Oryzias latipes: one gene and its partners. The protein of the gene in region 2 purifies or fractionates together with the protein of the main gene of each other region. This does not show direct contact. Links are inferred from orthologs where the notes say so. Each region holds a gene or a part of one and is shown on either strand. Other genes may lie near its edges.

What was found. The genes of interacting proteins can lie anywhere in the genome.
Region 1: the proteins of rad18 (region 2) and polh purify together in Homo sapiens (affinity purification with western blotting; 7 studies listed by BioGRID, with this or other methods). This does not show direct contact. The link is inferred for Oryzias latipes from reciprocal best matches to the Homo sapiens genes RAD18 and POLH.
Region 3: the proteins of rad18 (region 2) and shprh purify together in Homo sapiens (affinity purification with western blotting; 3 studies listed by BioGRID and IntAct, with this or other methods). This does not show direct contact. The link is inferred for Oryzias latipes from reciprocal best matches to the Homo sapiens genes RAD18 and SHPRH.

The regions. Positions count from the first base shown.
Region 1 is NC_019873.2:20,691,354-20,696,338, forward strand, and holds the start of polh (DNA polymerase eta), read right to left. Parts: upstream 3,416-4,985; 5' UTR 3,208-3,415; coding exon 3,071-3,207; intron 2,774-3,070; coding exon 2,639-2,773; intron 2,560-2,638; coding exon 2,318-2,559; intron 2,196-2,317; coding exon 2,017-2,195; intron 1,951-2,016; coding exon 1,847-1,950; intron 1,778-1,846; coding exon 1,658-1,777; intron 1,237-1,657; coding exon 1,113-1,236; intron 1,033-1,112; coding exon 967-1,032; intron 886-966; coding exon 713-885; intron 635-712; coding exon 1-634. Other genes in the region: uncharacterized protein LOC105355791, read left to right, coding at 4,668-4,713, 4,910-4,985. UniProt on the Homo sapiens protein: DNA polymerase specifically involved in the DNA repair by translesion synthesis (TLS). Due to low processivity on both damaged and normal DNA, cooperates with the heterotetrameric (REV3L, REV7, POLD2 and POLD3) POLZ complex for complete bypass of DNA lesions.
Region 2 is NC_019863.2:2,755,476-2,760,662, forward strand, and holds the start of rad18 (E3 ubiquitin-protein ligase RAD18), read left to right. Parts: upstream 1-1,951; 5' UTR 1,952-2,064; coding exon 2,065-2,115; intron 2,116-5,187. UniProt on the Homo sapiens protein: E3 ubiquitin-protein ligase involved in postreplication repair of UV-damaged DNA. Postreplication repair functions in gap-filling of a daughter strand on replication of damaged DNA.
Region 3 is NC_019880.2:661,015-665,920, reverse strand, and holds the start of shprh (E3 ubiquitin-protein ligase SHPRH), read right to left. Parts: upstream 3,416-4,906; 5' UTR 2,690-3,415; intron 2,587-2,689; 5' UTR 2,388-2,586; intron 1-2,387. UniProt on the Homo sapiens protein: E3 ubiquitin-protein ligase involved in DNA repair.

The sequences.
Region 1 (4,985 bases), on a different chromosome or scaffold from region 2:
GTGTTCGGGCATTTCCCAGACCAGGACTTCCTGACCGCAACGATCGCACTTCAATAGATCCTCTGCAGCCACGCTTGTACGGTTACAATTTGATTCTGGATCAGAATCTTCTGCATGTGGTTGATGATGTGGTGTGAGCTCTGAGCTACGCTTTGATTGTGGCTCTGCTCCAGCAGTCTCAGCTGCTTTACTTTCATTGTTTTCAGAGGATCCAGGATTATTTTGGGGTTCGTGTTTGCTTTTTTCCAGAGTCTTTTTATGAAAAAAAGAACAGAAGCCTGAACTGAGCTTCGACTGAGGCAAACTCTCTGAGGAGCAGGCCGCTGTCTGCAGCTGACTGTCATCAGTACATGTTGGACTAGTACCAGAAAGTGGAGGAATTTCCTCCTCTACATCCATCCTAACCCCTTTCTGTTTCACTGGTGCCTTTTGAAAGAAGGCCTGAATGCTCCCGCGCTGTTTACATGCAGAGTCTTGTTTCAGCTCAGAGGCCTGCGGAGTTGAGACTTTAGAGGTGGCGGAAACGCTCCGGCCTGGAGCGACGCCGGCTGAGAGAAAGCCGGCAATCCCCCCGGACGACGGCGCGTCGCTGAACTTGCTAGCAGAGAGGTGCAGCAAGGTGAGCGGTGGAGTCCTGGAGACACAAGACACACTTATTAAATAAATCAACCTGCAGTTTTATTGTCCCACTGCATTGCTCCCCCCAAATTACCATGCAGCCTGGTGGTTTCCTGCTGTGTTGAGGCTCTTGATAATGGCAAAGCTGTCACTAGATAGTTTGGCTGCCTCATAGTGCACCAAAGCGCAGCATCGAGAGAAGCTGCTGGGCCTCTTATCACCAAGCTGACGCACACCAACCGTCAACAACTTAGCCACTCGACCATTCTATGAGCAAAGGAACAAAAATAATAAGCTTTCACAACTAGAACGTCATCAGAAATACACTAAACAAAACTAAAGGCTCACCGTTTCTTTGTCTTTGTTCAGCCTTTCTTCCAGTTCCAGGGCCAGCTGATGAAGCCAGTACTGTACCTACACAGATCATTCATTGTTGCATTGAAGGGGACAAATTTCAGACAACGAGATGGAACATGCAATAAATGCGGCTCTACCTGTTCTTTAGTGGCTAGAGACGTCTTTCCAGGGAAGTTTTTACTGCAGCCAATAGACTTGGGAAGCTGCCTGGGCTTAACAGCTTCAGACTCGACCCCTCGGCACAAGTCATAAAGCCACTGGCTGCAAACAGAGATCCAGAAGGTGTGATTGACCCATTTCATAGATTTTAGTCACCTTTTCTTTTGTTTTTGACTATGAATGACAGCCATATGTATCTATTATATCTGAACTTGTGTCATTTTCTTGTCATTTAGTTTTTGTGCTTATGGTTTAGTTTTTGGATTTTAGGACATGTCATTTGTTTTGCTCCATTAGTCTTTCAACTCTGAAGGTCTAATCATTTGAATTAAAAAACAACTGTATCCATAAAGACAAAGCATCTAACATTTCAAAATTGCAGATTATTGTTCTTACTCGTCACTTAACCGGCTGCAAACAGAGAGATGCAAATACAATAAAAAGAGGGGGGGGGGGGGGGGCATATATCTAAAAAAAAAAAAAGTGATCTTGGTCAGACATATCACAACAGTGGCTTTCTTACCCTGTTTTTTCTCCAAAGTGCTGCACCAGTTGGGACTGAGAGAAGCGAGTGAGATCTCCCATGTTCTCCACTTTCAGAGTTTCAATTATCGAAGCCCCCATCTTACCCCCCAGGTTCCGACTGAACAAGAAGAGCAGCGTCACCATTTGCTTTTATTGTGCTTTTATTGGAGTGAAGCTTTAGACTCACATCTTGCCAATGGGCAAAGAGTTGAAAAGCTCCGTCACAGATTCCAAAGGCAAGACGGTTTGTCTGTTGGGTTTGTTCAGACCGCAGGCGAGCTTAGCCAGGACCTGAAAAAAGAAAGCTAACCTTAAACTGTTGCTACTGATTTTGCAGAAAAAAAGATTTGGCTCTACCTTGTTGTGAGATATTCCTGCGGAGCAACGGAAACCCGTTTGTTTCTCCACTGCAGCCCTCATCTCCTCAACAATGAGCGCTCCCATGGTCAGCTGCAGTTCTGCACAATTCAGCTCCCCTGATGAGGGCGTAGGTAAGGATTCCATCCACTGCTGAAGACCTTTGGATCTCAGCTCCTCTGCAGGGAAAAATGATGAGTAAATACAATCGAACCCCTTCATTACCTCTGGTCTAAAAAGAAAAACAACCAACAATCTTAAGAAATGGAATAATACATCCTAAAGTTAGGTCAGAAGTTACCTTTATATAAAATCATCTCTTCTGGAGATGCATCTGCGGAGGGAGGATCCAGTCCACTTTGAGGATACCCCTGAATGTAAGTGGTCTTCAGGAGGCAAGGGCTCATTTGTTCCTCAGTCGTGGTCTTCAGCCGCTGCTGGACGGCAGCCGTCAAGTCCATGTAGGCCTCATCGATGCTGGCTCGCTCGATCACGGCAAAGCGAGACATCACCTCGATCACCTCCACGCTGGCATCCCTGTAACTGCAAACGGAGGGCGCTCGTACACGTAGCCTTCGCTCATCAGACAGGAGGTGGGTTACCCTCAAGGACTCCGACTTACTGGGTTAGGTCGGCTTTGCCGTGAGACTCACGGACTCGAGCCACCTGCAGATCCGGGCACAGCTTTTTTGCATCATCCACCCACATGTTCCTGGTTACACCGTGGGCTCTGGCTTCATAGCTGACAGCTATAATACTGATATAATAATAAAAATAAAAAAAGCCAGCAACCGTTAAAGTCTGGCAGCAGAGTAAGAGACGTTTTGTATTTTGAATAAACATTCATTATTACTACTTGTGGTAGTAATATCAGTAAATGCCACACACATTTCCCGCCTAAGTAGACCAGATTTAAATGAGCAGCCTGGACTAAATAGAGGCAGACGTAACTAACTTCCTGTTTTCACGGCTGAATGCAAGAGATGCTGCACGAAAGACCGCGTCTGTGATCTATGCTGATGGTTCCAAACTCAGTAGTCTGTCAGGAACTCACCCGCCACCCTTCCAGGTTTTGTACTGCGCCACCACACAGGGGGTGTTCCGCAGAGCTGGATTCAGCCTCTGCTCCACCTGGACGTAGAAGCAGTCCATGTCCACCAAAGCCACCACCCTCTCCTTTCCGTACTCCATGATAATCGAAGACAAGTAGCCTTTTCGACTAAATACGCATGCGTCCACTGAATGTGTGTGACTAGTTCATGGTCGGGTTTGAACTTTAACCATAACCTGTTTAGTTAAAGTTGACTGTCGCTGTCGCTACCCGATCTGTACAGGAAACATTCGGCTTTATAGCTTTATATTTCGGGCAGACAAATTTGCCTCTGGAAAAACGTCATCAACAGGCGACGATCGTTTTTTTTATTTTAACTTTATTGAAAATATAAACAAGAAATAATAATGATAATAATAACATGTTTTACTTTTATCAATAAAAGAAAAATAATGCGGGAACGATTGACCATAATATTTTTCCACAAAATTCTTGTTGTCCCAAATCAATGTTGTTTTTTAAAGAATCTTAAGTTTTTTATTATAAATCTATCTATGAACCAAACTCCCAAAAAAGAAGAAAGATTTAAGAAACAAACCAGCTTGTTTCTCATGCACGCGGGCTTATCCCGGTATTTTTTTTAAATAATAATTAATATTTTGGGGTAAAAGGGGATTTCTTTTTATTTTTTATTACTGAGACTTTGTTAGAATAAACACAAAAGTTAAGACAGCAGGGTACATTTAGGTACTTTCAAAAATGTATGGTTAGGAAGGATGCATTTCTAAATGCATTTCATTTTCCAAAAAGCATTGTTTTGTTAAAAAAAAATACTTTTTCAATTGAGTCAATTAGTCAGCATAAATATTTCAGTTGAAATGTCTGTGTTGGGATGATTACGACAAAGGTTTTAACATGAGTTTAAATGAGAACATTTCTTCACATTTTAGATAATAATCTAACTGATTTTAACAGCTGCAGTCTGTTAGATTTGCCTTTTTTAAACTAAAGCTTCACCTTCAAAAGACAAGACGTGTCTCTTTATCATTGCCACACTATTGTAGAAAACAAAATCATATTAATCTTATTTGACAAGGTTTTTCTTAATTTTTTGTTTGTTGTTGTTCTTCACTGGCAATTTCTAAAATTCTTTTCTGCAAAAGTAAATCATACTTGAGATCTGTCAGAGAATGTTTTCAAAATTAAAGAAACTTTTTTGTTTTAAAACTTAGTACTTGCTGAAAAATACTACGGAAATATTCGTTAGGAAATAAACTTCAACAATAATAAACAAAAAAGCAACAGTGAACATCACCCTGAATAAAAGTGGGTTTACATCTAAACGGTTCTGCAGAACATTTTCCCATTGCCAGGCACTCTTTATCTTATTTGTCATTGTTTAAATAATTGCTGGAAACAGCTTAGAGATGTAGTTATTGGCTTAAAAAAGGGGAAGTAGAAATTCAGTTAAAGGACAGATCCATTGCATCAGTTTTTGTTGCGTGTCTCTAACCATCAGTGACTCTGTCTGAAGTCCTTCACTACTCATATCGTTTTTAAATGGTTAGGGTTTAGAGTGGGAATTTGGACACAGCGTAAAATGATCTTTCTTTCCAATTGTTTTCTGATACTTGTTGGTCTAACAGGTAAGAAGAATCGTTAACATTTACTTTTATTTTTGTAATTAACATGGCTTACACTATCTGTGCTTCTCACATTATTTTAAATTATTTAAAGTACTTATTTGTCTTGACTTAATGTAAAAAAGTCTTTGGTTTGAATCAAATTGTGGAATAGCTAATGGTTCCCCTCTGAATACATTTTTTATTTTTATTTTTGCAGGAGTTTGCTATTGTAGCATAACTACAGTCAAAGAAACATCAGTGAAGCCCGGAGAATCCATCTCTATCCCTTGTCT
Region 2 (5,187 bases):
CGAGTATTCCTTCCGGGTTTCAGCATCTGGGTCTGCCACAGTCTCGTCAGCCATGACAATGCACCCGGCGGTCTTTGCTCACCACTACAGAGGAGATTCTAGTCGATTTATTTCCTTCAGCATAATAATATGCTTCAATTCAACAGGTCGGCCTCCAAACAACAACAAAAAAGATAAGTGGTCCTGCCAAAAAAAGGTGGAAGTAGTGTGAAGTTTAATTTTACCATTGATTTTAAATAGACTACATGATCAGCCTTAACGTCCACTATTCTGAGAGTAAACTCACTCAGCTCTTCCTAAAATGTTTTCTATAAATTCTCCTTTGTTAGCTGACAGTACTAATTTACATGTAGAAAGTCAAATCCTTGTTTTCCAGCTCTGTTAGTGCAATAATAGCACAGCAGTGAGCCAGCATCTGATCCTTTCCAATATGGCGGCCAAATTTGTGTATGTAAGCTAGTGTAGCGAATCTAGTCTATATAACTCAGTTGTCCTGCATCACATAAGCCGCGGTTACATGGGCAAAATATCTTGATCGGATCAATGGTCGGGTTAAAATTCACCCGTGCACATGGGCACAGAAAACCTTTTTCCGATTAGAACAAACGTTCCCATGGCTCACACTTTCGGTCGGAATGAATAATTTGGGCATGCGCAGTAGTGTAAAAAATCCCGGATGAGGAAATAGGTCCCATAGTAAACAAATCGCTGCCACAGACATTTATTTTGTGCAGCAGCTCGGTAATATGCGAGACGATCTTCAAAACGTGCTTTTATTAATGTTATGAATGTTATGAAGCGCCTGTTCGCTTATCTTTTTATTTAATCCGTGTGGTCAGTGCTTTTTTTGTCGAAGAACGGAGCTGGAAGAAGCCAGTGTTAGGAGAGGCTAACACGGGCTAACAACATTAGCCTTGATGGACACAAAAGCCAGGACCATACGGGAAACGCTGCAATCTGCATCTTGGCTGCACGTAAATGTGTGGGAATAACATCAGCCTTTATTTAGTCGGGACACAACTGGAAACACAAAAAAAAAAGCGGGGCTAGAGTGGAGTGGCGCTTTTCACAGGGCGTCCGCAGAGCAGCTGGTCGGTCCCCTATGAGCTCCTAAGCTTTCTCTCAGCAAAACACCATCTATGCATGACGTAAACCAGAGCAGTAGTGACACACGATCGGAATGACCGTTTACATGATCAACGATCGAATAAACGATCGGCCTAACCCACCTATCTCGATCGAAGAGAAATTTTGATCCGAACGAGTCTGATTGGGGCACACTATTCCGAACGGCGCGTTTACATGACGCATTTTCCTTCCGATCAGGCGTTCTTTCCGATTACTTTTGCCCATGTAAACGCAGCTATAGACAAGTGACCTTTTTTTCCGTCTGCTCCTCATTCACACCGATTTGAATAAAGAAACACTCAGAAATGCAATTTTAAGCTTAGTTTTCTCTAAATGTCCCTCACCATGAGAAAAAATGGCACAAGAACACGTTAAAAACACCAAAAACAGGATTTTAATCGGAATGGGTCTTTAAGGTAACGGGGGTTGGGGGATCTGTTGATTATTTCCCCAGCATACTTTAAGAATGATACTTGGTTGAAAAAAAAGGTTAATTTTTATAAATGGTGTGTAAAACTTGTGTTTTTGATAAAATTAAACTTCATAAATGAAATTAACCCTTAGCACTTTAACATTGGGAGTTGGGTCATCTGGACCCACTAGACAGTGCACTAAACCTTTTTTTCTTTTTTCGATCCTCACTGGTGTCCATGGATTACATGAAATCTTTCCACCTTTATCCACCTTTGTCATGGTAGGGAGAACACGTCAATGTAAGGGTGGGGTCATCTAAGATAGCACAAGGGTTTAATAAAATACTGATCAATGCGACTCTTTTTTATGTCGAGACCTGAAACCGGACGGCCCTGAACGCACCGCGGAAGTTCCGCTGTGACGTCAATGTCGATCTTTAGAGCGGGACTGCAGAGTAGAAACAAACGCCTTTAGCTAATTTCAACATAAACAGACTCGACAAATGAACGTTAGTTCTGAAGTATGGCCCATCACATCGAAGCGGATCTACCAGCAAGTCTTGCATGTTTGAAAGTAAGATATCGCTTCTGTTGTGGTGCTTAAAATAAACCGGGTTTGTTAGATGCTGACTAGCTGCAAGAACAAGCTAGAGGCATTGACTTGCCGTTGGATAAACGAAGTTTATACAACACTGGTTCAAAAACCCACTCATTCACTGTCATTTTAGCAGCAGATTCAAGGAAAAATAGACTTTTCGGTGCTTGATAGTAGTTAGTAAGGTCAACTGTGGTTCTAATGCAGTAACGCCAACAACAATTCATATTACGCAAACACAGAGGGCTTATTTATTTGTGTACGTATATTGTTTTACAAAAGTTTGTACACTGTAATCCAAATTTTTAAACCCGCTTGATCCTGCCCGGGATGTTGGAGATTGGCGCTTGAGGTGAGGATGGAGCGAACTTGAAGAAGAGGGTTGTCATCCAGTTTTTGAGTCTGCTTGTGCTTCTCTCCAGCCAAAACCCAGCAGGAGCCTTAAAACATCAGCCCACCTTTTGTTAGTATTTGTATTTATTAGGGCTGTAATGATTTATTTGAACGATTCAATTCATATCATAATTTGTGGTTGCTGATCTGATCCATAGTTGTTATTGGTTCATTTTGAACGATTCACTGACCTAATAGATCCAGAACTAAACTTCAACCAGTCAGTGTGACTCAGAGACAAATACCTGGTACTGAGTTTTATTTAATTTTGAAACAGTTTTAGGACAGCATAGGTTGATTCCATTAGGAACTCGTCTCAGACAGATCCATCTGTTTGGATTGTAGAATTATAGATCAATAAGGTGGATTAATCGTTACAACCCTATAGTATTTCTGTTTTTGTAACCATTACGGTTTGAGTAAACTAACGACAGGCCAGGTGTTGTGTGGAATCATGGTGTTAAAAAAAGAAGAATTTCTGTTTTTTGACTGCAGCAAATACGTTTTTTAAAATAAAAGTACATCGGCCAAGTCAGATCATCTTCCTGCAACCTAGTTGCTTGAATTGAAAATGTAAATAAGGCAAGCCAAAGATATTTTCTGTTGATACGACTCATTTTCTCTTAATTTACGGCAGTTACCCTCATAACTGAGTGAATGCAGATGTTTAGAATCCAGTATAAAAATATAAGGTTGTTGAGCTTTTGCAGATAAACATCATTAGCACTTTCCTTCAGAACAGCAACTATTGTTGCATTGTTACTTAAGGATATAAAAAAATCTTACCAAAGAATAAAATGAATGGTTATAAAATATCCCTTAATTATTTTAACTATTATAATTTGTGTATTAGACATCAGTTTGAACTTTTTGGTTAATACAGTACAAGTAAGATACAACTAGGCAAGGAAAAATGCTATTATATGAAAAGGAGGGTTACACAGTCTGTTGAGATATAAATTATTCAGGAAAGACCTAAAAAAGCTCATGCAAAAAACAATTTGTTGGTATTTTAAAATTGTGGCATTTAGTATGAGTTTGTAAAGATTATTGTTGTGTATGCAATAATTTTAATACTCTTAAAAGCTCGGAAAGGCAGCCTGAATTTATGAATAAGCTAGGAAAAAATGGGATTGTTATTTGAAAATATACTGATATTTTTCCAGAAGGATGGTCATTTTTATCTTAGAGGTTCCCGCCCATAATTTATCCACATATAGTAGTATATCTCATTACATATCCTACATAAAAGCCTGTTTTTCTTTTTAATCTAGAATGAAATCCAGTTTTCATTGCCACTTAAAAATTGGACACAAAGTCACAGAGGCTTCAGGGATATTTCAGGCCTGCTGCTGTTAAATGTACCTCAGATCACAATCATTTTTTAAGAAAACCTTCCAGGAAAACTTGCTTTGGAATTTTGAATTGGTTTTCCTGAATAACGAGAGATATTGGCTCTTTAAAACATAAGGAAAATAACTATAACTGCACATGTTTTCACTGATTTTACAGTCTCGAGTTAGGGGTTGGTAGTTCAACCACAACTGCTGAATATGTTTTGAATCCGATTATTGAGGACTTTTGGGATGTCTCTGAAGGATTGACTGAATTCACTGACAGAGCAAATGAAGTGAAATTTCTTTACAGAACATCCACATTATATAGGAAGTATTAGCCAACCATTTTAACTTAAAAGACTGAGAACTTACCTCAAAGACTGTCTGCAAGCAAAGCAGTCCTGCAACACGGACTCAGCCAAACCTCATATTTACTGTTTTAGAGTGTACTCTTTCATGTTTTACTATGGCTTTGAGTTACCTGCCTGGGGACTGATGATTAAAAAAAACTCTAGTACTTCATGTTGATCAAACAACTCACTGACAAATATAGGATTTGTTCAAACCAAGTCTTTGAAAAGCCTCCTTCTGGTCATTTATACTAACTTCTAAATTGCAGCGAGTGTGGAGAGGAGCTACAAGGTTACTAGAAAGGTTTACAAATGGAGCATCTTTGAAAGTTCAGACTCTATGGTGCTGGTTAATACTTTGCCTTATTTTGTGATCAAACGTTGGATGTTCCCTTTCTCTAAGCTCTTAATGGATTGGACATTTCCATCACTAAGTAGTGGGACAGACTTCCTCCTAAGTATATCGTTTCAATCTGAGCATTGAAACATTTTAAAACATGATAAAATGATCTGCAGGCACAGAATTTGTGATACACAAGGAGCGTCTGGCTGTTAGCTGAAACTATCCGACTGCTGTGATGCCTTAAGGAAGGGAGTTTGAACATCAAGGACACTGCATCAGCATATTCACACCAGCTTTTCGATTTTGGGACTTTTGGGTTTACAGTTAACACAGACATATTTGGTAGCCTCGCTCATTATGTGATTCAAGAAATCCAACCACTTTCACATGTCTGCCCAAAACTCTGCTAAACTCACAGCCAAGTTTCCTCAACTTTATTCCATTTATTACAGGCCTGTCAAGACGCAGCATTTTCAGATTTCTTTGGAGTGGAATAAAATGGCCCTTTTGGCCAAAGAATAGTTTAATAATTTGAACTACATTCTGTCTTTCAAGATTAAAGATGAAGTTGTATGGTTTCTTTCCTATTTTTTTATTTCTTTTACAAAAGCAGAGTCTGTTGCTCATG
Region 3 (4,906 bases), on a different chromosome or scaffold from region 2:
CATTCAAATTAATTCAAATAAGTAGGTGTAACTTTGATGCTGCTGTTAGATCGGCACCGCAAGGGATTCTGGGATACCATTCCCTTAGCCTGTCTGGACGGATTTGGGTTCAAGTGTGGCTTTTTGACCAAATGTGTTTAGTTGTTTAGCTGTTTTACTGTGTTTTGTCTAGTTATTTTGTCCTATGTTTAATTCTTTCTGCACCATGAGTGAGAGGGAGGGAGAGGAGGATGAGTTTATATAGCACCACTAGTGCAACAGTACTGAATAAGAATTGAAGTCACAGTCAGTCATAATAATAAAATACATGATATATATTATAAATCCAAACTAGATTATTCATTTTATTGTTATAAATATGAGAATATCTGCAGGCTCAAATATAGACATCTGAGAGTTCAAGAAGTACAATAAATGAAGATGGAAAAACATTTAATTGAATTGGAGTAAAATGACATTTAGTTAGATAAATATGTAAATTTCTGTTGTATAAACACGGAGTTGGATAGACGTAAGAAATTAGGTTGAATAAATTTAACCCAATTACTTGTTACCAATTGAATGAATTTAAGTTTTATAAGTTACATATATTTATGCGTCACAATGAAAATAGAAATAAGATCAGAAACTCGTGCGTTTACTTTGTCTGTTCTTTTTCTCCACACGTTTCCATGGTGACTCCTTAAATCGGCGATCCATTGAGAATGTCTTTATGTACCTGCTGTGCACGTGCGTTAACCCAGGGTTACCAAGTGGAGCGTAATGACGCCAACTCATATCCGGTCTCTTGGAACCGACATACCCAGAGTAAGCAAGTTCAGGAGGATTTCAGCCAGAGTTCAGGCTTAAAGTCAGAGGAGTTTAAACGGGCCTTCTGGAATACCCCCCTGGTCCAGAGGTCAAGCTTCAGACCAGATGACAAAAAAACGGCTCCGCTTAATCTGAACATTAATACTTTAGCCAAAAAATGTAACGAAAGTGACTCAAGTGTACTTAGTAATAGCAGAAGTAATCTATTACTGCCATGAGTCTGACGTAAGATCCTTTAGTCTGAACCAGACATGGAGAATTTCTGCTTTAGGACAACGTAGACCCACCCGGCCTGACTTTAGGAACCATCAGCCTTAAGTTTACGGCTCTCTACTACTTCCTGTCTGGGACTTAAAAACTGAAGAGGAGGAGAACTTCACCCACTGAGGAGAACCCTCACCCACTGAGGAGAACCTTCTCCCACTGAGGAGAACCCTCACCCACTGAGGAGAGCCTTCTACCACTGAGGAGAACCTTCACCATCTGAGGAGAACCTTCACCCACTGAGGAGAACCTTCTCACACTGAGGAGAACCCTCACCCACTGAGGAGAACCTTCTCCCACTGAGGAGAACCCTCACCCACTGAGGAGAACCTTCACCATCTGAGGAGAACCTTCACCATCTGAGGAGAACCTTCACCATCTGAGGAGAACCCTCACGCACTGAAGAGAACCTTCACCCACTGAGGAGAACCTTCACCCACTGAGGAGAACCTTCTACCACTGAGGAGAACCTTCACCATCTGAGGAGAACCCTCACGCACTGAGGAGAACCTTCACCCACTGAGGAGAACCCTCACCCACTGAGGAGAACCTTCACCATCTGAGGAGAACCCTCACGCACTGAGGAGAACCTTCTACCACTGAGGAGAACCTTCACCATCTGAGGAGAACCCTCACGCACTGAGGAGAACCTTCACCCACTGAGGAAAACCCTCACCCACTGAGGAGAACCTTCTACCACTGAGGAGAACCTTCACCCACTGAGGAGAACCTCATCCCACTGAGGAAAACCCTCACCCACTGAGGAGAACCTTCTACCACTGAGGAGAACCTTCACCATCTGAGGAGAACCCTCACCCACTGAGGAGAACCTTCTACCACTGAGGAGAACCTTCACCATCTGAGGAGAACCCTCACGCACTGAGGAGAACCTTCACCCACTGAGGAAAACCCTCACCCACTGAGGAGAACCTTCTACCACTGAGGAGAACCTTCACCCACTGAGGAGAACCTTCACCCACTGAGGAGAACCCTCACGCACTGAGGAGAACCTTCACCCACTGAGGAAAACCCTCACCCACTGAGGAGAACCTTCTACCACTGAGGAGAACCTTCACCATCTGAGGAGAACCCTCACGCACTGAGGAGAACCTCATCCCACTGAGGAAAACCCTCACCCACTGAGGAGAACCTTCACCATCTGAGGAGAACCCTCACCCACTGAGGAGAACCTTCACCCACTGAGGAGAACCCTCACCCACTGAGGAGAACCTTCACCCACTGATGCGGACTCAACCACGCTACTGTCTGAAAATGTCAGGAAGAAGAAGAGCCTCTGGTCCTCTGAGGATCACCTCTGAAGGAGTTCTTGCCGCTCCTCACTGCTCCTCCTTTACCCAGCATGCATTTCCAAACTCCTTCAGGGTTCCTGCTTCTTTGGACTCTCGCTGTGGCTGTTTGGTTCTCCTCCAAACACACGGAGCTTACAGCACCTCCTCCGTTTGGTTCTCCTCCTCTCTGTGGAAAGTCCCCCTGCGTTCCCACTGAAGTGAACTGTACCAGAGTACCAACCATACCAAACCTGGATCAGACCAGTACAAAGCCTGGATCAGACCTGGATCAGACCAGGACCAGACCTGCCAGAGGGGATGCTTACCAAGATTTGGTTCTGAGCATGAAGGAGGGAGAACAGAGCGACCTGGACTGCTGCAGAAGAACAGAGAGGTGGGGAACCTGTTCCAGGTGTTCAGGTGGACCTGTTCCAGGTGTGCAGGTGGACCTGTTCCAGGTGTTCAGGTGGACCTGTTCCAGGTGTGCAGGTGGACCTGTTCCAGGTGTTCAGGTGGACCTGTTCCAGGTGTGCAGGTGGACCTGTTCCAGGTGTGCAGGTGGACCTGTTCCAGGTGTTCAGGTGGACCTGTTCCAGGTGTGCAGGTGGACCTGTTCCAGGTGTTGTCACAGAGAAGGTTCGTTATGATTTTACCTCAGCAACCCTCTGCTCTTGTGGTGTCTCGAGCTGCTCTGTGATTGGCTGATAAAGATGCGCCTCACGCTACATTCCCATCAGAAGAACCCGCCACACAACCGGAACATCCTGCGTTTATGAGCGCGCGTGCTTCCCGCGCATTCCCTTAATAAACTTCAAATGTTGACAGGAATCATTCGGTCTGAGGGAAACGGAGCCGCAGACACAAAAAGAAAGAATTTCACGTCTGGAGAAAAGAGCTTCGGTACCGTCAGAACCTGCGGGGATTAGAGCGGAACCGGAAGCAGCTTCATGTTGACGAAAGGCCACACAAACAACAACAAAAACAAACAAAACGAAGCATTCAAGCAGCAACAGCAACGATCGCCATTTTTGTTTAAAGGAAGTGACGTAGCGGAAGTCAGATCTCACTTAAAGTCCATCCGTTTGTAAATTAAATCAGTCAACAGTCCACAGGATCAAAAAGCTGGTTTTGATTTTATAAAATAAAAAATATGGTTGATTTGGTACAAAGTTGGTGGTTTGATTTGACGCCCAAACGCAGAGAAACTGTTGATTTATGATCACATTAAAATAATGAAAATGAAAGGAGTTTGTTAAAATAAAAACACCAAATAAACTGATATTATGTGTGGTCTATTGTTAGACAATCTGTTTTTAAACTTTTTGTCAAGTCTGGCCAAAAACCATTTTCCTTTTTACATCTAGGTGAGTTTTAGTTTAGTCCCAGGTGAGATAGTTTCATCACTTTACGTTTTTGAATTTCCTTTTTTTATCTGTTTCTTCATTAGTGGTCTACTGATTATTATTGAACTATAATTGGATTCATATCATGATTTGTGGTCCCTTCTGGGCCACCGTACAGATTTGATTCCAAGTGAATTTTGGTTCATTCTGAACAATCCGATTGGATCCGATTTTCTGACCTGAAGTGGATCCAGATCATCTTCATCCCAAACTTTTCCAGATCCTTGGATTTCTTCAGGATAATCAAGTGTAAACGATTAACACACAACTGTGATTACACTTAATTTACATGTTTTTATGTTATAGTAAATAGATAAATGAAAGTAAATCTCAGACGGATCAATCTGGTTGGATTGGAATATTATAAAAAGTGACATAAAGGAGGCATCATGAAAAACTGCCTTATTCAACTGTGTCAACTTTGAAAAGAAATTATAATTACCACACATATTAACATGTGTTTTTGTTTTCTTGTCTTAAATTTAAAAAATCAGATGTATCTAAAATATTTTACATTTTATGAATCATATCTATTTATTCATGTATATAGATAAATGTTAACATTCAAGTAGGAAATAACCAAATAGTCTTATCCTATTCTATTGTAATTTTGTTATAAAGGCTGTGATATACTAATGACTATATTACTGTATTATTACTCTGATAAATATCTGTTTAAATACAATCGAGTTGTTGAAATAATTTATATCATTTGTTTCTTTTCTGAATCTTTAGTTTAAATCCAGATGGAACGATGACGTTGCAGTTCCAGACATGTGCACATGGGGGCAGCAGATTCCTTCCCTCGTTGTCTGATGGGGGAGTAGGGGGGGTCCCGTGTTTTTTCTTCTAAGGAGGGGGGTGTAATCGTGTTATTTTGTCCCGCTTTGGTTCTCATTTTTCTGGACTTTCTTTACTTCTCAGACTTGAAGACATTTTTCTGTTTCAGAGCTCTGATCCACTTTTCCTGTCAGAAGAAAATCCAAAGTGTTTCCGTTATAGATGCGTCACTGCCCACCCCCCACCCCCACACGTGTGCGAAGCGCGACTCCGAATCAGGGACACTGCAGCGAATGTGACCCGCTTCAGGATGCAGTGAGGAAGAGGAGAAGAAGGGGGCATGTCGTGATCACGGGGACA